Pelodiscus sinensis: one gene and its partners. The protein of the gene in region 3 binds, or shares a complex with, the protein of the main gene of each other region. Links are inferred from orthologs where the notes say so. Each region holds a gene or a part of one and is shown on either strand. Other genes may lie near its edges. The genes, in order: DENND1B, ACAP2 and RAB35.

Region 1 (7,916 bases), on a different chromosome or scaffold from region 3:
AAAGTCACTGCCAATGGCATTTTAAAGGACTAACTCTTGTAAACAACAATTCAACCAGTGAGAAAAATTACTCTAATAATTATAATTACATTTGCTGGTTGATAGCTCTTTGCCCAGCCCTAGCCTCAGTTTAAATAATTATTTGAACAGAACAGTCACAAATGAGTGCCATTATTAGCATTCTCTGTCCGTGAATAAACTTATACATTTCAGTAATTTCTTGATTATGTTAACAGTTGCATCTGAACCTAATTTATTTTCATTCTTCTGAATTATTTATATCATTATTTTAATGAGCAATCTACTACAGGTTGAACTTCTCTAGTCCAGCACCCTCAGGACCTGACCAGTGCTGAACCAGAGAATTTGCCAAACCATGGGAGGTCAATATTGTCTAGTAGCATTACCAACACTTCTGCTGCTTACTGGGCTCTTAGAAGACATTTGGAGGTAAATTAGCACTAAATAACAGCACAGAACAAGAGCCAAGACTGAGAGCCAAGCCTGTTGGGACCACCAAAAACATGATCCCAGCCATGAAAAGTGGACATTCCGCTAACTAAAATCATGCCAGACCATGTTGCCAGACCAGAGTGCCAGACTAGAGAGTTTCAACTTGTACTTATATTAAATGCAAGAATTATAACCTCAACCATATCAATTAGTTATCTAAGAAACCACATGAGGGGCCCAGGTTTGAACTCTTTTCTTGAGTAACTTTCCTACTGAAGTCAGCAATTCTCCACAAATAAGGAATTCAAGACTGGGCTCCAGGTTTCTAAAATGATGCATATAAAGCATATCACAGATTGATAGTACAATACATGTTTTTAAAAAAGTTTTAGGGGGATTTTGGACTGGAGGGAAACTTTCTAACTCATCGGTTACTTAATATATTTTCTATCATTTATTTTTTCATCAACCATTTATGATATACATTTTTATTAAAACTGAAATACTAAATTTCTGAGCATCAATCATATATCTTACCACATCATGTTACTTCCGCACCTCACTTTTTAAATTATTCAGTTGGAAAAGAGGATCTTAAATGAGCTGGTTCTGCAGATATGGGGCTAAGCTTTGCTCTCAGTAATACCAATGTAAAGTCATATTACTGGAGACTTACAAGAGTGTAACAGAAAATATGATTGTTTCTCCTCTCAACTAGCAAAATCAAAATTAGTCTAATTAGAGTTGCACTCATTTAAATGAGAACGAAACTGGTAAGAAAGTGAAAACAGTGGAATTCCTGTACCATGAAAGGGTTCGATTAAATTTAATCCAAGGTGTGTGTTTACTCTTGTCTCTCATTTTTTGTCCCTTCCTTAAAGGAGTGGAAAGTAAGAATGCTGGATTTAATTCATCCATTTCTATCAAAACTGTGTCTCAAATACAGGATTAGGACTTCAGAGTTCAAGTTAATTGAATTTACAGTCAATGACACAGCATGTGAAAATGTGTTTGCTCCCTTCAGTACACAATCACAAAGTCTGTTTCCTCAGAAAAGTTCTAGGTTTATTCTTCACCTCCCACATACAAGGTGTTGCTTAGACTTAGACGTGTGAAGAAATATGTCAAACTAGTCTGATGTATGTCAGACTGATTCTCATTTCTATAAAGCTACTCAACAGCAGCACACTTACTCATCATAGATCACTATACATTTACAAAATACAGATTTAATGTCTCATCAGTTACCAAATTAAGGAAGTCAATGGGACTACTCACAATAGGCAAAAAAAATTAACTTCACCAAAGTTACTATCAACCCAGCTAGGTTACATTAACATTCTCCCAAGACAGAATTATTCTGTTAATGTTTTGAAAAATATAGTCATTTTCTTAAATAATTAAAGAGAAAGATGTTAGATTCCATAGAAGAATATTTATCAACATCCACTGTTTTAATGTTATTAGTTTTAAGCACTATTTTTGTGGCTGTTACTCAAAAACAGGACTCATTCACCTGTAATTTTCACACATATGGCAGGCATATTTTTAAATCCCTATTTATTGTCAATAGATACAAAGAGACAATCAACACAGAAGCATAAATATAAAAGTTTGTTGGGTATTGGTTTTTTGCAATCCACCTGATAACAAATCACCATGGACAGTTTTCTGAGAAGTCTAGTAGATACCAAGCACTGGGCTGATACTGACTTCCCTGAAGTTTAAAGCCATAGGCTCCCAGAGGCAGAAACAATGGTCCATTCAGTCCTCCCACTTTTAGGGCAGACTCCCTCAGTGGGATGGAGATTATTATAAGGCTCCATCTATCTTTATCTTCTCCTCTGGGGGATAAAGGGTTTCCCAAGCGGGGCTCACTGGAAGGTGCATGTCTCCGAGACTGAAGTTGGGGGGGGGGGGTCATTTTGACAGTGAGTGTTTTACAGCCTCTCCCCGGGGGTGACAAGGCCGGGAGAGATTTCTTCGGGGCAGGGAGTTGACAAGCTCTCCTGGTGGGGAGGGCTGCGGCATTCATGGCCTCTCCAGTGAGGGCCGGTGACTGGGATGGGGGGCCGGAGGGAGGAGCCCACCAGCTGCCCACGGGGAGGCAGCCAGGGTGCCACCTGCGGGGGAAGCGGGCTTGCGGTGCGGACTCCCGTGACAGCCCCGCTCCTGGCCGTCATGCCCCGGGGGTCTGGCCGCCGGCGAGCCAGGCTGGGGGAGGCTCTGCGGCCTAGTCCCTCCTGCCCTCTCCCTCCCGCGCAGCCCCGGAGCCGCCCCGCCCGCACTCACTTGATCCTGCTGTCCATGGTCACATCTCGGGCCGCGGCGGCCGGTGCGCGCCCCCCGGGAAACGCCTCGCCCGGCGGGGCAGGGAGGGGGCGCCGGCCCCGGCGGGGGGGTGCGGAGGCTACAGCGGCTGCTGGCGACGAACCATGGTGGCTCCGCTCCCCCGGCTCGGGCCGTGAGCGCGGCGGGGAGCGGCGGCACCGCCTCCTCCCGGCCTCAGTTCCTGTTGCCGCCGCGCCGGCACCTTCTGGGAAGCAGGAAGCTCGGCGGGGGCCGGAGCAGCCGCCAGTGGCGGTGTCACCTGCGCCGGCCGCTCCCGGGGTGGCCCTGCCTAGCGCCCCCGGGTGGGTGTGGCGCGGGGGCTGAACTGCTGCGGGGTAAGGGCTGCCCGGCCCCAGGGCCTGCTCCGTCCCTGTCCTAGGGCCCGGCCCCGGCTCCACTGCCGGACCCCTGCCTAGTGGCGTCCCCCCATTGGGGCCGTGCGCTTCCAAACACAAGCGCCCTGCCCGGCCCTCCGCCTCTCTTCCAAGGGGCTGCCTGAACTTCTCCTTTCGTTAGTAGGAACGCTTCCTTCTCCTGGGGCGAAGAACGAGGAAACAAAACCCCACCACTGGGTCCGGTTCCTCCCTCCGGTTTTTAGAAAGAGACAGCTACGCTTCTGCTCGTGGCACATCACCTCCCAGCACCTTCTGCCCTGGGTTCTCTCAGGTTGTTCATAGTCTTACATAGCATTTATGCTCACACATCAACAAAACGGGGAAAGGGAAATAAAATGGTGAGTCAGATATTTAAAATCTCCCCTCACTAAAGCACATTGCAAAACCCTCCATCCCCACAGAAAGGACTTCAGAAGTGCTTCATTAATCAGTGACTGCTCTGCTCTCTCCCCTCCAGAAAGCTGGCTCTCTAAGCCAAGGCCTCATCCTGCGGACTCCAGTCATGCAAAGAGATAAATATATGCTGACCTTTATTCACTATAAATATAGTCCCATATTGGCTTTGATAAGAGTCAGATGTCAATGCAACTTTTACAGTGCACAATGTTAAACATGACTTGCACTATTTGGTCTTTATAGTGTAGAAAGGCCGTTATCCTGACCCATGAGTCCATTCATATGGGCCAGCTTGCAGCATACAGGAAAAGGGCAATAGAAGAGACATACTCTACAACCTAATAGTGTAAACAATTATATATGCCAGTAGTCCCACTGAACTCAATGCAGCTCTTCACAAACAAAGTTACTCTGTGTATTTTCAAAATTAGGGCCTATTTCTTTCTAAGGGACAATTCCTTTAACTTCAGATGGAGTAGCAAGCATGTAGTTGAAAGAAAAATTTGAAAAATACTCCTGAGAGTATTTTTGTTGGTCAATATAATATATAGCCCTTCCATAAACCAGTGTGACTTGTACTTGCTTCTAGGGGAGATCTTATGCCAGAGATTAATTTGGTCCATTCAGTTTGCAAATAGTGCAGTTATTCTGGCAATCACATTATCTCTTCTAGAACATATTGCATAGCTCTGTTGAGTATATTTAGACTCCTTAAGCTGAACTATATGAATGGACTCATGGATCAGGATCAAGGCCATTCTATGCTATAAACTAATAATTTTATTACCATGGTGTGTCTGGTACTTCTACAGGAGGGAGGGGACTATAATGGTTTTAAGATAATTTTAAAATTAATTATTTGATTTTAGCCCATAATGCTGTTAGTTCAGCTTTGTATTACATTTTAAACAAACTGTACCCCCAAATTCTTAACCAGTAATCCCAGAGAAGAAATTATAAGAGTAAATTGCCAATCCTGCAAACCCTTATACACAAATATCTTTATGGATGGTAGCAATCCCATGGAGTTTGGAATGTGATAAAAACAAAGCTGGCCCTATGAAGGCCCCAAGTCCCATTCATCTTACGTGGTCTGTGTAGCCAAATTCCCAACTACAGGCAGTCCCCGGGTTACGTACAAGATAGGGACTGTAGGTTTGTTCTTAAGTTGAATCTGTATGTAAGTCGGAACTGGCGTCCAGATTCAGCCGCTGCTGAAACTGACCGCCAGTTCTGACTTACATACAGAATCAACTTAAGAACCCCAAGCGTCCCCAAGTCAGCTGCTGCTGAAACTGATCAGCAGCTGATTCCAGGAAGCCTGGGGCAGAGCAACTCTGCCTCAGGCTTCCTGTAGTCAGCGCTGGTCAGTTTCAGCAGAAGCTGACTTGGGGACGCCTGGGGCAGAGCAGCTGGGGTGCTGCTGGGTTGCTCCAGTAGCGCCGCAACCCAGCAGCACCCCATCTGCTCTGCCCCAGGTGTCCTGATTCAGCCGCTGCTGAAACTGACCAGCAGTGGCTGAATCAGGACCAGAGCAGCTGGGGTGCTGCTGGGTTGCACCAGTAGCGCCCAGAGCGGCGCTGCGGGACCAACTGGCAGCACCCCAGCTGCTCTGCCACAGGCGTCCGGAGAAAAGCCTAGTCTGCTGGGGGAGGGGGGCGTACTAGCTGCGCCCCCCCCCCCCCCACCCCAGCAGACCAGGAAGACTCAGGCGGCGGACCGAGATGCTGCGCGGTCCCGCCGCCTGGGTCCTCCGGCTTTGCTCCCCGTCTCCCTGGTCTGCTGGAGACCAGCAGACCAGGGAGACGGGGAGCGCCTCTGAGGACGCCGGCAGCGGAGCAGCCCAGGTGCGCCTGGGGTGCCCCGCTGCCCGAGCCCCCCCGCGGCTTTGCAAAGCGCGGGGAAGCCGGCGGTGGGGCAGTCCAGGCGCGCCTGGGGTGCCTCGCTGCCCGAGCCCCCCCCCCCCCCCGCGGCTTTGCAAAGCGCGGGGAAGCCAGCAGTGGGGCAGTCCAGGCGCGCCTGGGGTGCCTCGCTGCCCGAGTCCCCCCCCCCCCCGCGGCTTTGCAAAGCACGGGGAAGCCGGCGGCGGGGCAGTCCAGGCGCGCCTGGGGTGCCTCGCTGCCCAAGCCCCTCCGCGGCTTTGCTCTGCGTCTTCCTGGTCTGCGAGGTCCCGCAGTCCGTGTACTCTGGGGCAGCCCCGTTCGTAACTGCGGATCCGACATAAGTCGGATCCGCGTAAGTCGGGGACTGCCTGTATACTAAATATATAAAACAGCATTACAGGCAGTCCCCAGGTTACGTACAAGATAGGGACTGTAGGTTTGTTCTTAAGTTGAATCTGTATGTAAGTCGGAACTGGCGTCAGCCGCTGCTGAAACATCAGTTTCAACTGCGGCTGAATCTGGATGCCAGTTCTGACTTACATACAGATTCGACTTAAGAAACGCAGGCGTCCCCAAGTCAGCTGCTGCTGAAACTGATCAGCGGCTGATTCCAGGAAGCCTGGGGCAGAGCAACTCTGCCTCGGGCTTCCTGTAGTCAGCCGCTGACTGAACCTGAGAAATGGCTGTCCAGGGGGGTCCCTTTAAGCTCACATCTCAGATAGCTTCAGGCAGCAGCTCCAGGAAATAACTGCTGACCTGGTGCCCTGCCTTAAGTGGTTCCGGGTGGCCTTAAATGTCAGTCAGTGTCCAATCAGTGTGGATGCTCTATTTTGAAATAGCTAAGTGCTATTTTAATGCGTCTTTTGTGTATAGACGTGCTTTTTCAAAATAAGCTATTTCGGAAAGTCAATTCCAAAATAGCTTATTTCAAAATAAGTGTGCAGTGTAGATATACCCTAAGGTGTCACAAGACTTATCTTTGTTTTTAAAGTTACAGACTAGCAGGGCTGCCCCTTCTAGATTCATCTGGAAGATGTGCACAGCATTAGTCGCTTAATCTAAAACAATATGAGACTGTGAGGGTTTCGGGGTGCGATCACCCCCTCCCGGTCCGAGGGGGGGGTCTGCGGACCCCTTTTGGTCCTCCTTTTGTCCTGTGTTGTCCCTGGGCCGCCAATGTGGAGTCCAGGCCCCTGGGGGTGCGATCACCCCCTCCCAGCCAGAAGGGGGGGTCAGCAAACCCCGGGCCGTGAGTACCCGCCGAGCGGGATGGGGCCGGAGCCCCTAGCCTTAGGTCCTCCTCCCCCAGTCCGGGGTTCTAGTTTGGTCCCTGTCGGTTAGTGTGGCTGTCGGGTGCTGGACGCTCCCCGTGTGGAGGGAGGGGGACCCGGTCCCGCCCTCTCTCCGGGTCCCAGCCCGGGGCCCTGAGCGCCGGGGCCGCTAGCGCCCCGGCACGGTGGACGAGGGGGGTGAGGATTCTCCCCCCTGTGGCCCGTCCACCCACGGCCGCCAGAAGCGCCCTGCCCCGGGCTCCTTCCTCCCTCCCGTTGGGTCCGCCTGCCGATCCCCGTCGCCCTGGCGCCTACCTCGACTCCGCGGTCTGTGGCGTCTCACGTTCCGGTGGAGTCTCGGGGGTGAGCTCTCCGGCCCTGGCGCGCTCCTGGCCGTCCCGGTCCCTCCTGACTCGGCGTGGTGGGGTCCTCCTGCCGTCTGGCGAGGGGCTGAGTGCTCGCCAGGGGCAGTGGCTGTCCCGGAGGCCCCGGGACCAGCGCCGGGCCGGTAGCCGGGCTGTGTGGCGCTCACGCTCCGTCCTGTGGTGGGGGCTGCTCCTCCGCCGCCGCGAGGAGCCTGTGCCCCGCTTCTCCGGCGGCAGGCACTTTTAAACTGGCCCGCCGCGCCGGCCGCCGCCCGGGGCCCCGCCCCTTCCGGGCACGTCCCCGCTGGCAGCCCTCGCCAGTGGCCGTGAGCCCCGGCCCCGCCTTCCCTGCGTGGCCCGGTGGGGGGGGAGCCGCCCGTCAGCTGCCGGCGCAAGCGCGGGGGAAGCGCCCCCGCCTGCCACCCCCGGCGGCTGGAGTTGCGGGGTTGCTGGGGGGTCTGGGGCCGGCCGGCAGAACCCCGCCGGTGGGGACTCCGCTCGCCCCGCCCCCGGGAGAGTGACGGCCGGCGGGGGCTCCGCTCCCCTCGCCCCTGGTCAGGGGCCGGCCCGTCACAGAGACATTACAGACTTTGAGTCATCTCTTAGGGCTAAATACTTGTTTTATTGGCAGTTTTGCTCTTGATTTCAGTGAGATAGAGAAATTGAAACACAGGCTAGTCTGTCACTATTCCAAACTGTAAATGCTGAACAATTACAATATGACAATTTCTATTCAAAATTCTCCAAAAGGAGAACACAAGCATGAATATCCCAATTAGGTGCCCAGCCTATGATATTTGCCTCAAGAAAATATTAAAAAAT
Region 2 (7,540 bases), on a different chromosome or scaffold from region 3:
TTACAAACCACCATTTGAGTTCTTTCAGAACTCTTGGGTGAATGGTCCCCATGATATCACACACAGAGACAGATGGCAATAGGATATTCTTAGACACAATCTATTTCTTGCATAATGATTCCCAAGCTTTTTTTACTGCCATTACCCAGTGACTGGATGTTTTCAGAGAACCATCCACAATGATTTCAAGAGGAATTATTTCAAGTGATAACAGCCAATTTGGTTCCCATTATTTTATACATATAGGTGGGATGTTTTCCAATATGCATTTATCAATAATGAATTTCATCTGCCATTTTGTTGCCCAGTCTGAACTACTATACAGTAGTTCAGAAACGGCAGAGTCCCCATGCTATTCTATTCAATAGAGCTGGAAAATAAATTCACAACAGCAGTGATCGACTTGAACACTTTTGCCACCGCGTTTGAACTCTTGCAACAAGTTCATTTTATTCAGGTTTCCTGGAAGAGATCTACAGTTACATCAGACCCCATGGGCAGACGTTTTTTATTTGACTATTCGCTAATAACTACTGCTCAGGGCGGATACACGTCCAGCTGTTTTAAACATGCTGCTACTTTTTAAACCCAGCAGTGGTCTGTGGTCGGGCTGCAAGGGACGAGCCAAACCGGTCCCACCGCCGGCTCAGTTCAGCCAGCCCCTGACACCGCAGCAGCTGCCCCCGCGACGCGCCTTGTCCCGGCCCCTCCCCAGCGCCGCTTCCCCCTTCGGGCTCACCAGGCAGAGCGGGGCAAGACAGGGACTCGGGCCGCGGGGGAAAGGGGGTCGCAGGGATCCAGGCCGGGAGCGGCGGGGGGGCCGCGGGGGGGTCGCAGGGACCCGGGCCGGGAGCGGCGGGGGGGGGGGGGGGGCCGCGGGGGAAAGGGGGTCACAGGGATCCAGGCCGGGAGCGGCGGGGGGGCCGCGGGGGGGTCGCAGGGACCCGGGCAGGGAGCGGGGAGGGTCGCAGGGACCCGGGCCGGGAGCGGGGGGGGTGCGGGGGGGGTCGCAGGGACCCGGGCCGGGAGCGGGGGGGGTGCGGGGGGGTCGCAGGGACCCGGGCCGGGAGCGGGGGGAGGACGCAGGGACCCGGGCCGGGAGCGGGGGGGGGGGGCGCGGGGGGGGGCCGCAGGGACCCGGGCCGGGAGCGGGGGGGGGGGGCGCGGGGGGGGCCGCAGGGACCCGGGCCGGGAGCGGGGGGGGCCGCAGGGACCCGGGCCGGGAGCGGGGGGGGCCGCAGGGACCCGGGCCGGGAGCGGGGGGGGGTCGCAGGGACCCGGGCCGGGAGCGGGGGGGGGGGGGTCGCAGGGACCCGGGCCGGGAGCGGGGGGGGGGGGTCGCAGGGACCCGGGCCGGGAGCGGGGGGGGGGGGGTCGCAGGGACCCGGGCCGGGAGCGGGGGGGGGGGGGGTCGCAGGGACCCGGGCCGGGAGCGGGGGGGGTGCGGGGGGGTCGCAGGGACCCGGGCCGGGAGCGGGGGGGGTGCGGGGGGTCGCAGGGACCCGGGCCGGGAGCGGGGGGGGTGCGGGGGGGTCGCAGGGACCCGGGCCGGGAGCGGGGGGGGGACGCAGGGACTCGGGCCGGGAGCGAGGGGGGGTGCGGGGGGGGTCGCAGGGACCCGGGCCGGGAGCGAGGGGGGGCGCGGGGGGGGTCGCAGGGACCCGGGCCGGGAGCGAGGGGGGGCGCGGGGGGGGTCGCAGGGACCCGGGCCGGGAGCGAGGGGGGGCGCGGGGGGGGTCGCAGGGACCCGGGCCGGGAGCGAGGGGGGGCGCGGGGGGGGTCGCAGGGACCCGGGCCGGGAGCGAGGGGGGGCGCGGGGGGGGTCGCAGGGACCCGGGCCGGGAGCGAGGAGGGGCGCGGGGGGGGTCGCAGGGACCCGGGCCGGGAGCGGGGGGGGGCGCGGGGGGGTCGCAGGGACCCGGGCCGGGAGCGGGGGGGGCGCGGGGGGGGCCGCAGGGACCCGGGCCGGGAGCGGGGGGGGGCGCGGGGGGGCCGCAGGGACCCGGGCCGGGAGCGGGGGGGGGCGCGGGGGGGCCGCAGGGACCCGGGCCGGGAGCGGGGGGGGGCGCGGGGGGGCCGCAGGGACCCGGGCCGGGAGCGGGGGGGGGCGCGGGGGGGCCGCAGGGACCCGGGCCGGGAGCGGGGGGGGGTCGCAGGGACCCGGGCCGGGAGCGGGGGGGGGGCGCGGGGGGGGCCGCAGGGACCCGGGCCGGGAGCGGGGGGGGGGCGCGGGGGGGGCCGCAGGGACCCGGGCCGGGAGCGGGGGGGGGGTCGCAGGGACCCGGGCCGGGAGCGGGGGGGGGGGGTCGCAGGGAGCCGGGCCGGGAGCGGGGGGGGAGCGGGGGGGTCGCAGGGACCCGGGCCGGGAGCGAGGGGGGGCGCGGGGGGGGTCGCAGGGACCCGGGCCGGGAGCGAGGGGGGGTGCGGGGGGGGTCGCAGGGACTCGGGCCGGGAGCGAGGGGGGGCGCGGGGGGGGTCGCAGGGACCCGGGCCGGGAGCGGGGGGGGGACGCAGGGACTCGGGCCGGGAGCGAGGGGGGGCGCGGGGGGGGTCGCAGGGACCCGGGCCGGGAGCGAGGGGGGGTGCGGGGGGGGTCGCAGGGACTCGGGCCGGGAGCGAGGGGGGGCGCGGGGGGGGTCGCAGGGACCCGGGCCGGGAGCGAGGGGGGGCGCGGGGGGGGTCGCAGGGACCCGGGCCGGGAGCGGGGGGGGCGCGGGGGGGTCGCAGGGACCCGGGCGGGGAGCGGGGGGGGAGCGGGGGGGGTCGCAGGGACCCGGGCCGGGAGCGGGGGGGCCCAGCCCCGCGGAATACGGGCCCGCAGGCGCCCCCCCCTCACCTGAAGCGGGGCGAGTCCTTCAGACACTCCTCGAAGTCCACGGCCACCTTCATGGTGGGGCGAGGGGCAGGGCGGGGCGGGGCGCCGGGGGCGGTGCCGATCGATCGCCGCCTGTCCCATTGCAGAGACTGACAAGCACAGGCAGCCAATCGGAAAGCAGAATGCATACGCTTGGCCAATTCTGGCTTCTGTAGGCGGGCTTTCCTGCGGCTCGCGTGCCGGGGTGACGGACAACGAAAGTATCCAATCAAGTCAGGAGACTGGAGGCGCCTGTGCAATCACCACTAGGAGAGCTAACCAATCGCAGAACGCGACAGGCCGCTACTTCCTTATGGCGCCTTTTCTCCATGATTGATATCCAAGCAAGCCAATGGTCATAGGGGAAAGCCGCAACGTCACAGCTTTTACCCCGCTTGCCGGCTTTCACTGCTGACTGGCAGTGAGTTCGACCAATCAGAGAGGGAAAAGCTGGGGGCGGGCTTTGCAGCCGCCGAGAAAGGTAGCGAGGGCGTTGCCGGGCTGCTAGGCATAGGGCGGGGCTGGCTCGGCCCCAGAGGCCCCACGCACGGCGGGCGGGACCGTTGAGGAAACAGGGGGATGAGGGGCCGCCCCGCTGCCACTTCCCGGGGCAGGGCGGGTCCCTCCAGCCCCACGTGCACGGGGCGGCCCCGCGGGCCACGAGAGGAGCGAGGCTCCCGGCCGCAGGGCACGTGTCCCCGGGCTCAGAAGCGCGCTGCCCCGGCCGGCTTGTGAAACGCCCCCCCGCTCGGTCTCGCAGCCCCGGCCCTGTAATCGAGCCTTCAGCTCAGCCACAACAGCCAGGTGCCCGCGCCCAGCGGAATGTCTCAGTGCCGTGGCTGCCCTCGCTCTTACACCCGGGGATGCCCAGCGGCTACCCTCTGCCCAGCAAAACTAGTGATCCTGGTTCATTAGTAAACACGCATGTTAACTGGCATTGCTCGTGTCATTAAGGAAGGGCTGCGGCACTGCAGGGGCTTAGGAATATGGGGGGCTGGGATGCGTAGAAATAAGGGGCGCAGAAGGCTGTCCAATCCACAGGGCTGCCTGGTGCAACAGGGTGGGTAGTGCCTAGCCAGCAGCTCGCCAGCATGGGAACCTTACCTACATATAGCAACATGCAAAGTCCCACTCCTAGACAGCCACTCTTACCAGTGCACCCGGTCCCCTGTGTTCTTTCTGCAGTATAACAGTCCTTGCAAGCGTTTTATGAGAAATAATCCTAAACCCTGTGACTTTCATGAAAAATAATCGGATTCCATGCAAATCTCATTGTCCTGGCACAAAACCCCTGAACTTGCTTTAAGTTACAATAAGAGGAAGGTGCATATCAAATGTAGCGATCCTTGCTCTTACCTTTTTTGAGTTGTTCTTGGACAGACTGACCAGACACACAAACTCTCTCATATATACAAAAGTACAAACCAGATGTAAGTGGTTGTAAGTAATAGCACTCAGAACAAAGTAAGTTTCTAAGCAAAATAAACATTCCAGCTAAGCTCAGTACACTAAGAAACTGTCTACAGGGAATCTCTCACCTTCATTCTGAAAAGCTTCTTTCATAAACTGGACAGCCTCCCAGTCTGGGCTTTATCCTTCCCCCGTTCAGTCTTAGAGGTTTCCAGCAGTCATCTTGGGGCACAAGCAGTGGTGTCCTGACAACTGGCCCCCATAACTTTAAGGGCTCCTCTCTGAAATGGGTTGTGCAGAAGGTGGGAAGGCTTTGTTTGCTGGCAAGCCTCCCTCCATGTGAAAAAATACTACATTGAAGATGGACACCCCTATCAAATGACATAATACACATGTTCCTGTGGGGACTTTCAGCTCCACCTATGGACAGGCCCACTTACAGATCAATGACCTTATTAGCCATCACATTTCTGAATACCCTTAATGGCCCTCACTCATCATTCATACCTATATTAGTAATACAGGTTTATACGTCATATTTCTAACTTCCAACACAGGAATGATACATGCATACAAGCGGGAAAATCATATTCAGTAAATTACCATTATTCAAATGACACCTTACACAAAGTATTTTGTATGAAACAGTTTCCAGTTGTGCATACTGATAAGCATGCACATGGATAGAGCAAACCAGTCAGATGAAAAGCTCATACTGTTAAACAGAGGCAGGCGTGTAAGTGAATGAGAGAGAGACAGAGATTGCCCTGCAAAGAGGGGCTGAGATGTCAAGGTTCCCCCTCCCACTGCCTCAGAAGGGGTTGTTTCCTTCCCCTGTCCAAACTTACAAGATAGCACGCTGACATCCCCAAAACTGTCTCCCCCCACCACACACACACACACACTCTCTCTCTCTCTCTCTCTCTCACTTCTGCTGTAAAAGCGCTCTCTCTCTCTCACTTCTGTGGTAAAAGCAGCCATCACAAGAAGCACAGTGTGGGGACACAACAGCAAATTTCCCTGCGTCACTCTGGGAGCAGCACTGCAACTGCAAGCACTTTACACCTGCCAGTGTAGACATGGCCAACGAATGGCAGAGTGGCCAATACTGCCTGGTAAAATGGGCCCATTCAAACAAAATGAGTTTTAGTATAGCAAAAAGTGAAAGGTTATACATCTAGGACCAAGAAATGCAGGTAATCACTGCAGAACACAGGTCTGGAACACAATGATTCTGGAAAGGATTCAGGGGTCACAGCAGACAAGCAATTGAATATCAACTGCCAGCGTCATGCTATGGCAAAAAGGATTCATGCAATTCTTGGATGCACACAAACATGGGGGTGGTATTTGCTTGGAAGAAGGCATTGCGGACACACTGGAATGCTGCATGCAGTTCCGGTGTCTGTGTTTTAGAAAAGACATTGAAAAACCGGAGAAGGTACAGAAGAGAGCCACTAAAATGATTCCAGAATGAAGAAAATGCCTTCCAGGGAAAGATTTGAAACAGAACTCCATCTGGTCAGTTCATCAGCGATCGAGAGGTGACAACTTTTACAGGGAAAAGTCTGAGTATTGAGAGTTCTTTAATCTAGCATAGTAAGTCATAACAAGAACCAAGGGCTGGAAACTGGAGCCAAATTGCAATGAGAAATACAACAGAGTGACAGTGACTAACCATTGGAACAAAACAAGCATGGAAAAGGTTGGATTCTTCATCTCTAGCTGTCTTCAAATCAGGACCAGATGCCTTTCTGAAACAGGCTTTAGCTAAACAAGTTATGGGCTCAACACGGCAATGTGTGGGTGAAATGGAATGACCTGGGCTGTATGCAGGTCAGATGAGATTTCCTAAAGCAGCCCTCAGGCAGGCCAGGAGCTGGTTTCAGGGGGTTCCTGAGCCCCAGTGCCCCCACCTGAGGAGCCCAGGGGCAGAGTTAGGAGGGCATGAGCGGACACTGCCTCCCCAAACTGCAGTGCCATAATGAGAGTGGGGCAGTCCCACAGGAGGCTACCACCTCAGGTCCTGCTCCCGGGCCAGGTTAAAGGACAGGAAGTGCGGGGCAGCTACTGCTCTGGCTGGTGTCCAGGAGCAGAAAGTCATAGCATTCCCCCATCTCCTCCTTCAGCTGCTGGTGCCCAAGCATCACTTCTTCTCAGAATCACTTCCTCCCCATGGCGCACGTGTATGCTGGGTGTATGCGCATGTATCAGACCCTCCAGAAGCTTCTGCGGCCATGCCGTGTGACAAGGGGGACTGACCCACATGGGACAAACTATTCTGCCACATGCTTTACCCCACAAGTACCAAGGATGAGGGATTAGCCTAAGGCAGCGGCTCCAGGCCACGGCAGTTCTGGGGGCTGCAACTGGGGTACACCGCTCTCACCATGGCTGTTGGGAGAGGCGTGTCCTGCCTCGCTTCTCAGCCAAACAGCACTGGTCAGGGGCTGGGTCTTCCCCCAGGCACAGAAGAGCGCTTCTCTGCACTCTGGAGGATGAGCTAGCAGTGGGGCAGGGGGCGCTATGGATGCCAAGAGAGTGCTGGGTACAGGGTTAATACAGGGGGCTGGCACTGGGGGAGGTTCTGGGGGGAGGTTGGGTGCAGTCGGGCTCTGGAAACAGGAGGCTCGTGGTAGTGGGAGGTGATGGAGAACTCGAAGGGGTGGAGGGCTGGCACTGAAGGGGTTGGATGCAGTGGGGCACTGGAAACAAGGGGCTCATACGGGGGTCTGGTGGTGAAGGACGTCAGGCATTTGGGATGGGCGGCTGGCACTGGGTAGCTCAGAGTGGGAGGCTGGCACTAGGGGGCTTGGGTGCAGGGGACTCTGCAGTCAGGGCTGGCGCTGGGGAGCAGTGGAAGGGTGGGGGGCTCTGGAGTTAGGACTGGCACTGGGGGTTGAGCTTTTGGTGGACCAGTAATATTTTATTTGCATATGCATCATTTATATAATGAATATGCAAATACAATTATACCAGCCCACTGAAAGTTTGTGACTGGATTTGCTGGTCCCCAGTATCAAAAAGGTTGAGAACCACTGGCCTAAGGACAGAATCCAATATGGCAGTAGAAGGGCACAATCCGTCACGCTGGCAGCAGCAGTTACAGGATAACCAAGCAGATCCCACACCTGCTCCTAGATGGCTATAGAGTAGCATGGCAGATGCAGCTGTACGTATATATGCTCCCATGCTGTTGGGATGGCAGAGAAGCTGCCATACAGAGCATAACTCCACCAGGTTTGGTATCACACTGTGCCACACCGTATCAATAGA
Region 3 (7,420 bases):
GGGCCAAAGTTGAGTAGCCCTGCATAAGAGACTATATGTATATTTCTTTTTTTTTTTTTTTTTTTAATTTTGGCACAACTTAGACAGTGGAGGCCAATCACATTTTCAAAATCACTTAAATACAGAAACCTACTGTCCTCTAAACTGTCATAATTCCATATGAGGAAAAGCAGAAAATGTAACGATCCATCCAACGTTTCCTAATATGAGGCTTTTCTATGAGGATCAATGAACGATGCAAGTGAAATGTTTCTGGAAACTGGGGCAAAGCCTTCTTCTTGGGTTTAAAGAGAAACCACTAACAATCTATATTTGTAGCTCTACAATCGATTTAACTGTTAGAACCCAGAAATGCAGGCATTTGGTCTTCTCACAATCAGGTCACGCACAGTTTCTGACACTGTACATGCTCCGGTTTTTAGGGGCTTTGTCCAAATTAAGCAATCCCATCAACAGGAATTAACTAACCAAAAGAAAAAAAAAATCTTCCTCTTATAGGTCTCTAAATTAGAAATCTGCCTAAATGGTTTAGAAAACAACTGGCAGTCAAGACAGAAATTATTTAAACTAGATCTCTCTCCTCTAGTAAAGCAGTCAGTATGCCAGGACATACTGGGGCTTAGAATAAATTCCCCTTTTAAAAAAAAGTTACCTTTAAAACAGGGTCTATGTAAACTCGAGCCCTACCCTTCTTGTGGCCATAGGGCCAACAATGAGGTAGCCACAGTGCGCTATATACAGTAATTCCTCATTTAACACTATAGATATGTTTCAGAAAATGATCGTGTTAAGTGAAAACGTGTTATGCGGGGTCAATTTTCCCATTGAAAATAATGGAAAAGGTGGGGGTTGTGTTTCAAGTGGTTGTGTCTGTTGGGACTGGGACATAAGGTTGGGAGAGAAAGGGGACTGGGTTACAGCAGGGAGGGGAGGTGTTTGGCTCTGGGGAAGAGGAGGGTAGGAGAGAGGAGGGAGACTGGGTTGTGAGTATGCCCCTGTAACGAGTCTGCCAGGACCTGAACTGCATCTGGCGAGGGAGGGAGGGAGCGCTGGGGAACAGCGCAGCGAACCCTCTGCCGCTTTGCAGGGAGGTGGGGGAAGCCCCGCGCAGCCACCGGTGACAGGCTGGCTGGGGAAACCCTGCCGCTGGCCTGCAAGAGAGGGCGGAGGAGAGGGGGTAAGGCGTCCGGCGAGGTGGAGTCAGCGGGGAATGGCGTGGCAAACCGTGAACCCTCCACCGCTTTGCAGGGAAGCAAGGGAAGCCCTGCACAGCCACCAGCAACGGGCTGGCTGGGGAAATCATGTTATTCCGGGGATGGTAGTGTAATTCAAAAAATGTTCTCTTAAAAAAAATCGTGCTATCATGAAAACGTGTTAAGTGGGCACGTGGTAAATGAAGAATTACTGTATTCACCACATTTGATAGAAATCTGCAAGCTTGTGGAGGTAACAATTCCTAGGATCATGTAGAGCTCCATTTTTATCCAAATCCATTTTATCCATGCCACACTAGGGATGTGAGTAGTCAAGTTGTCAACTACTTGCTACCTCCCCACCTGCACCTGGCTCTTACTACATTTAAACTGCAGAGGTGCAGCAGGAGGAGCTCATGGACCAGCACAAGCCAGGAAAGATCACCGTCCCTTATAAATTAATCATGTAGCCAATACAAATTGTAACTATACAATTAGTCAGTTACCCACCTCTTGACATCCCTATGCCACACTACACATTGGGACCTGCTATCTTTACAGGTCACACCTTTATTAAAAGATGAGAGTGATGCCATTTATTCAATTTTATTTAAATTAAGTTTCAGGATCTTGAAGGGCTGCAATTATGGAATTCGACTGGGTGAAGTTTGGAAACCCTCTATAGAGAAACAGAAATCCACCACTTCTGGCAGCTGCAAAATAGATCAACTAACAAGACAGGTAGTAAATTCAATTTTTTACCCTTCAAAAGTGTTTCAAACTCTGCAAAGCCTTTTAAATCCAAGGATCAGATGTTTCCCCTATCTTTAATTAACAGATTAAGTGTTTGGATATCCATGATTATAAATGAAACATATACATCCAGAACATACGCCTCCATTTTAAAGATCACATTGACACACACACACACACACACACAGCTTCAATAAGGCATATCTAAAGAAAACCTTTTTTAAATGTTAGAAAATTAAAAATTGACGCACTGGAAACAACACTCCTTAGGGCTTTCTGAGCAAATGCCGAACCCTGACGGTACTTAATTGTATGTTATATTATGAGGGAATTCCTTCCTGATCCCAGCTAGGGAATAGCCTATGCCCTGAAAACATGAGGTTTGATTGCCCTTGTAAAGTCTACCCTCGCTACTGTAAATGCGGACATTATCCTTACTTATTATATGCCCGTCTGACACGGTTTTGAATCTTGTTAAACTTTTTGCCTCAACATCCTGTGGCAGCAAGTTCCACAGGTTACACCACTCTGTGAAAACAAAGGCCTCCATTGCGTTGGAGCGGCTGTTGGCCTCAACAGGGGCCAGCGGTGAGAAGCGATGAGCCCCAGGCCCAGCGTGCAGAAGAAGCCCCCCCAGGAGCGCTGGCGGGGGGAGGATGCGTTGTAACTCACCGGCGGCTAGGACGCTGGCAGAGGCGCTGCGAGTCTTTTCCTGCCTGAGCAGGCACCACCTGACCCCACAGGCAGCCAGGCCAGCCCACCGCAGGCCGGGGCTGCCTTGGCCCCTCAGCCTCCCGGCCCCTCAGCCAAGGCACCGGCCCCCTCCCCAGCCCGGCGGCACCGCCCCGCACACACCAGCCCCTCCCGGCCCGGCCCCGCCGAGCGCCCCCCGGAGAGGCCCGGCCCCGCCCCCCCGCCCCTCACCGCTGTCGCCGATGATGAGCAGCTTGAAGAGGTGATCGTAGTCCCTGGCCATGGCCGGTGGGGAGCGGAGGCTCCGGGCGGCGGGGTCTCCTCAGACGGCGGCGGCTCCGGGCCGGATCCACTTCCCGAACAAACAGCCGGAACTGACAGCGGCAGCAACACCACCCCCCCCCACACACACACACTCTCTCTCTCACTCAGTCACAAATGCCCACACTGCGCATGCGCACCACCTCAGCCGCGCTCTGCAGCTGGGGAGCGGAGACCGCCAGCAGATCGGCCGCTCAAGTACGCATGCGCATCGCCTGTCTCGGTTTCTTTCCCCCGCCCCTTCGCCCGCACTCTGAACCAACCCTCGCTTCCTCCAGCGACCCGACCTTTAATGTGCGCGCTTGCGCCCTGTCACTCGAGGGCGCATGCGTTGTCGTGACGCGAGGGCGCATGCGCTCTCACGAGCGCCGGTGGGGGGGAAAAAAATTGCTTCTTCAGTAGGGTTGCCGCCCGTTTCAGTCGGGCGCTTGTGCCCCTCCCCCCACTGTCTTCCTCAGGCAGGTCCCCTGCCCGGCCCGTCTCACCTGCCAGCGCCCCACAGAGGGCGCCACAGCAAAGGCCTTCCGCTCTGGCGCGCGGCCTCCCCCCTCCCCACCTGGCCTCGAGACCAGCCACGACCGTTAGCGATGCCCCTGACGGTTGGGCTCCCGCCTCCCAGGGGCATGTGGGGGCTCTGGCATGCGCCTCCCTCCCAGCCTGCCCCCCCCATTTTATCATAAACAAATCTACCACCCCTGAAACCCACTGAGCATTGGGACAAGCCCCCCCCCCCCCCTGCAAGGCTGTGTCCACACTGGCGCCAAAGCGCCGCTCTTGTGCAAAAACTTGCTGCCTGTCTACACTGGCTTCTTGCACCACAACTCTGACGCTCCCGCTCAGGGGTAAGCCCTTTTGTGCAACTGCTCTTGCGCAAGAGGCCAGTGTAGACAGGCAACATGAATTTCTTGTGCAAGAAAGCCCGATGGTTAAAATGGCCATCAGAGCTTTCTTGCACAAGAGAGTGTCTACACTGGCACGCATGCTCTTGTGCAAAAGCACATGCCAGTGTAGACGCTCTCTTCTGGAAGAGTTTTTGCAGAACTCTTCCGCAAAAGAGTTTTTGCGTGAGAACACACCAGTGTAGACATAGCCCCAGAGTCCAGTATATGAGAGAGAGTGCATTGCTGCTTTGTTTGCTAAACAGGTGTGGCCTGCATGGTAAAAGGAGGAGGCTATGCCTACTCTTATATGGCGATTTGGTCCAGTGAGGCAGACAGCAGAGCTGTTTTCTTTTGTATGCAGCTACACCCAATTAAACCTTTATCCATTCACCTAGAGGTATACAACACCAAGTTCCATCCATTTGCCCTGCTGTGACCTTCCCCCCCCTCCCCCAGAGATGAAGATCACAGTGGTATTTTATCTTTTCTGCTAGTGTAGCTCACCCTGAGGTTTCAGTCTGAGCACGCTTTTAGTGCCTTTTGCAATTGCAAAATAAGTTTCACTGACTAAAACTTTCATAGAACTGGGAGAGAGGACTGACAAGATAACCAAAATTTCATAGAAGCCTTTGCTTTAACAATATTTTCCCATGTTACTTTTCTATAGAAGTTTTCTTGTACAGTAACGGGAGTTCTTCACGGCCCAGAGATCTTTAGTAGCAGTCCCTGGCTGCCGGCGCATGCTGTGCTATTGTGCAATCACTCTGATTGACGGTTAAACACATACCAGCAGCCGTTCCCTCCGTTCCTTCTCCACACCAGATCGTGTTAGTCCGGAGCAGAGGAGAGGAAGATAGGTGTGGAGCACCCATAGGGACACGTCTCAAAGAACTCCAGTTACTGCATAAGGTGACAAGTATCAGAGGGGTAGCCATGTTTGAGGGTCCCCGGGGGTGCGCTACTTAGGTGACTACACAGCAGTATTCCTGCTTGGCAGTGGGCACTCCGTATTGCAGGGTTGGATGTTGGAAAGTATGGTATGTCCAAATCTAGTATCTGAGTCCTGAAAGGACTGACTAGCATAATGTTGTGCAAAGGTATTGTCCAAAGCCCATGTTGCAGCTCTGCAGATGATGTCTATGGGAAGACCCTTGAGGAAAGCAGTTGTGTTAGCTACTGCTTTCGTGGAATGCACCCATATAACTGTTGTTGGCTGTCTGTGTTTCTGGGTGTAAGCCAGTTGTATGCCTGTAGAAATCCATTTGGATATTCATTGGTTTGGAAACCAATTGACCTCTGGACCTGTCCATCCATGATACGAAGAGTCTGGGAGTGCGTCTGAAGTCTCTTGTGCATTCGAGGTAAAAGGCTAGTGCCCTACATACATCCAGCATGTGCAGCACTGTCTGCTTGCTGTCCTTGTGTGATTTTGGGAAGAACACAGGTAAGTACGTTGCTTCCTTACAATGGAACCAGGTAGGTACTTTGGGCAGGAATTTCGGAATGGTTCTAAGGATGACCTTGTCCTTGTGGAACACCGTGTGCGATGGGTCCACCATGAGTGCCACTATCTCTCCCACTCTCCTAGCTGATGTTATCGCTACGAGAAAAGCTACTTTTATTGAGAAGTGGAGCAGCAAGCAAGCTGTGAGCAGCTCAAAAGACCATCTCATGAGCGAGTCCAGCATGAAATTCAAGTCCCATGATGGTACTGGGTCTTCCTGTGGTGAATAAAAGTTCCGTATCCCTTTCCAAAATCTCTTCACACACGGGTGGGAAAAAATGGAATAGCCCTGTATAGGTGGGTGTATCACAGATATGGCTGCCAAGTGGACAGTGAGAAAATTAATTGATAGTCCTGTGTCCTGCAGATGGAGAATATACTCTAGTATGTCCGCTATCCCCATCCTATTTAGATTATACTCTAGTATGTTGCCTTATTCAGTGCTTGAGCCCAATTCCAGGCTTCAAATCAGGCCCACTTCTGCAGGTAAGTCCATTTCATAGTGGGTCTTCTAGTATTGACCAGGATATCTCTGACCCTATGAGACATCATTAATTCATATTTGAGAGCCAACAAGCATCCATGCTCGCAGATCTAGGGTGTGGAGTCCAGGATGTGGTATGTGCCCTTTGTCCTGGGTCAGCAGCACTCAAACCAGTGGGAACTTGTACAGGGGACGAGTACTGAGTTGTAGTGTGATAGGGTACCAGATCTGTCTCGGCCAACTGGGGGCTACCAGTCTGACCCTTGCTGCATCCTGTTTGATTTTCAATACTGTCTGTTGTATATGAGGTATAGGTGGAAATGCTTATGCCATGGGAAGTCCCAGCAGTCTGCAAATGCATCCCTGAGAGATCATGGTCCAATGCCTGCCCTGGAACAGTATAGGGGACACTTGGAGTTGGCATGAGTCACAAACAAGTCCACTACTGGATAACCCCATTTCTTGAAAAGGTTGTTTATGATGGGTTTGTTGATTTCCCATTCATGATTCTGGGAATTGTCTGCTGAGGTCATCCGCTAATACATTGTCCTTGCCTGGTAAATGCATTGCAGTTGGTGTATTGTATTTTACACCTACTGTTGTGTATAATACATCATTGCCACAGTTTCATAGCTTCCGCACATAGGCTGCTCGATCTCACGCGCCCAATTTATGTAATATTCGTTGCGGTATTGTCTGACATTATTCTCACTGTTTTGTTCTGTATGTGCTAAAATAGTTGGGAGCACTCTTGTCTGACTGCCCTGAGCTCCAACACATTGATATGGAGCCGGGACTCCTGTTGTGTCCATTGTCCCTGTATCATGCTCCTGCTGTGGGCTCCCCATCCCAGCAGGGACAAGTCCGTTGTGATAGTGATGGATGGCATTGTTGCCTGAAACAGAAGCCCCAGGCATGCATTGCGTATGTCTCTCCACCAATCCAGGGTGGCTTTGACCCAAATGGGTACATAGAATGCCTTGTGGATCACGTGGTGTCTGGGCTGATATGCAGAGCTTAGCCATACTGGGAATGGTCTCATATGTAGTCGAGCGTGTAAGACTACAAACATGGACATGTCCATGTGTCTGAGTATTTGCAAGCATGTACGCACCAAGGTGCATGGGCAACTCTGTATCGACGCGATCAAGGCACATAATCTTTCCCATCTGTGGATTGGCAATGATGCTATGCTCTTGGTGCAATCCAGCTGTGCTCCTATAAACTCCAGTGTTTGTGTAGGAGTGAGGGAACATTTGTCCAAGTTCAATAGGAGCCTGAGCATCTTGAATAACTGTCTTGCTGAGTGTAACACCCACTCCATGTCCCCATAAGTGTGTGCCATGATCAAACAGTGCCGCAGATGAGTGGGATGCAGCAGCGGCACTGGTGCCCCGCTCCACTTTTTCCTGGTGTTCTGTGGCTTATCCTCGGTTAATTTGTCCTGCTATACTCTTCTTTTCTTTCTAGTCTTTCTAGGAAGACTGTTGCTACTGGGACTGCTGCCAGTGGCGGTTGAGAAGGAACTGAGGGAACGATCTCCAGCACATGCCTAACCGTCAATCAGAGCCACTACACAATAGCGCAGCAT

Evidence for each region.
Region 1: the proteins of RAB35 (region 3) and DENND1B are in contact, whole or in part, in a crystal structure (PDB 3TW8), measured with the Homo sapiens proteins. The link is inferred for Pelodiscus sinensis from reciprocal best matches to the Homo sapiens genes RAB35 and DENND1B. Residues at the interface, in NP_006852.1 of Homo sapiens: Lys10, Leu12, Ser17, Ser36, Tyr37, Ile38, Thr39, Thr40, Ile41, Gly42, Val43, Asp44, Phe45, Gln60, Trp62, Thr64, Ala65, Gly66, Arg69, Phe70, Arg71, Thr72, Ile73, Thr74, Ser75, Thr76, Tyr77, Arg79, Gly80, Thr81; in NP_001182144.1 of Homo sapiens: Met1, Arg4, Glu43, Ser47, Phe51, Val72, Leu73, Thr74, Asp75, Ile76, Glu77, Ser78, His211, Glu212, Arg213, Arg214, Gln242, His243, Ile244, Ile246, Leu249, His252, Leu253, Asp255, Tyr256, Cys258, Ala259, Pro260, Met261, Pro262.
Region 2: the proteins of RAB35 (region 3) and ACAP2 are in contact, whole or in part, in a crystal structure (PDB 6IF3), measured with the Homo sapiens proteins. The link is inferred for Pelodiscus sinensis from reciprocal best matches to the Homo sapiens genes RAB35 and ACAP2. Residues at the interface, in NP_006852.1 of Homo sapiens: Arg3, Asp4, Tyr5, Leu8, Ile41, Gly42, Val43, Asp44, Phe45, Ile47, Lys58, Gln60, Trp62, Phe70, Arg71, Thr72, Ile73, Thr76, Arg79; in NP_036419.3 of Homo sapiens: Val715, Ala718, Asn719, Ala720, Asp721, Val723, Thr724, Arg727, Leu728, Arg730, Met731, Glu734, Met735, Ser738, Glu748, Thr749, Gln751, Arg755, Asp756, Gln759, Met760.

Annotation. Positions count from the first base shown.
Region 1 is NC_134719.1:46,151,410-46,159,325, reverse strand, and holds the start of DENND1B (DENN domain-containing protein 1B), read right to left. Parts: upstream 3,077-7,916; 5' UTR 2,763-3,076; coding exon 2,746-2,762; intron 1-2,745. UniProt on the Homo sapiens protein: Guanine nucleotide exchange factor (GEF) for RAB35 that acts as a regulator of T-cell receptor (TCR) internalization in TH2 cells. Acts by promoting the exchange of GDP to GTP, converting inactive GDP-bound RAB35 into its active GTP-bound form.
Region 2 is NC_134720.1:55,155,446-55,162,985, forward strand, and holds the start of ACAP2 (arf-GAP with coiled-coil, ANK repeat and PH domain-containing protein 2), read right to left. Parts: upstream 3,116-7,540; 5' UTR 3,004-3,115; coding exon 2,837-3,003; intron 1-2,836. UniProt on the Homo sapiens protein: GTPase-activating protein (GAP) for ADP ribosylation factor 6 (ARF6). Doesn't show GAP activity for RAB35.
Region 3 is NC_134725.1:9,362,156-9,369,575, reverse strand, and holds the start of RAB35 (ras-related protein Rab-35), read right to left. Parts: upstream 3,213-7,420; 5' UTR 2,923-3,212; coding exon 2,871-2,922; intron 1-2,870. UniProt on the Homo sapiens protein: The small GTPases Rab are key regulators of intracellular membrane trafficking, from the formation of transport vesicles to their fusion with membranes.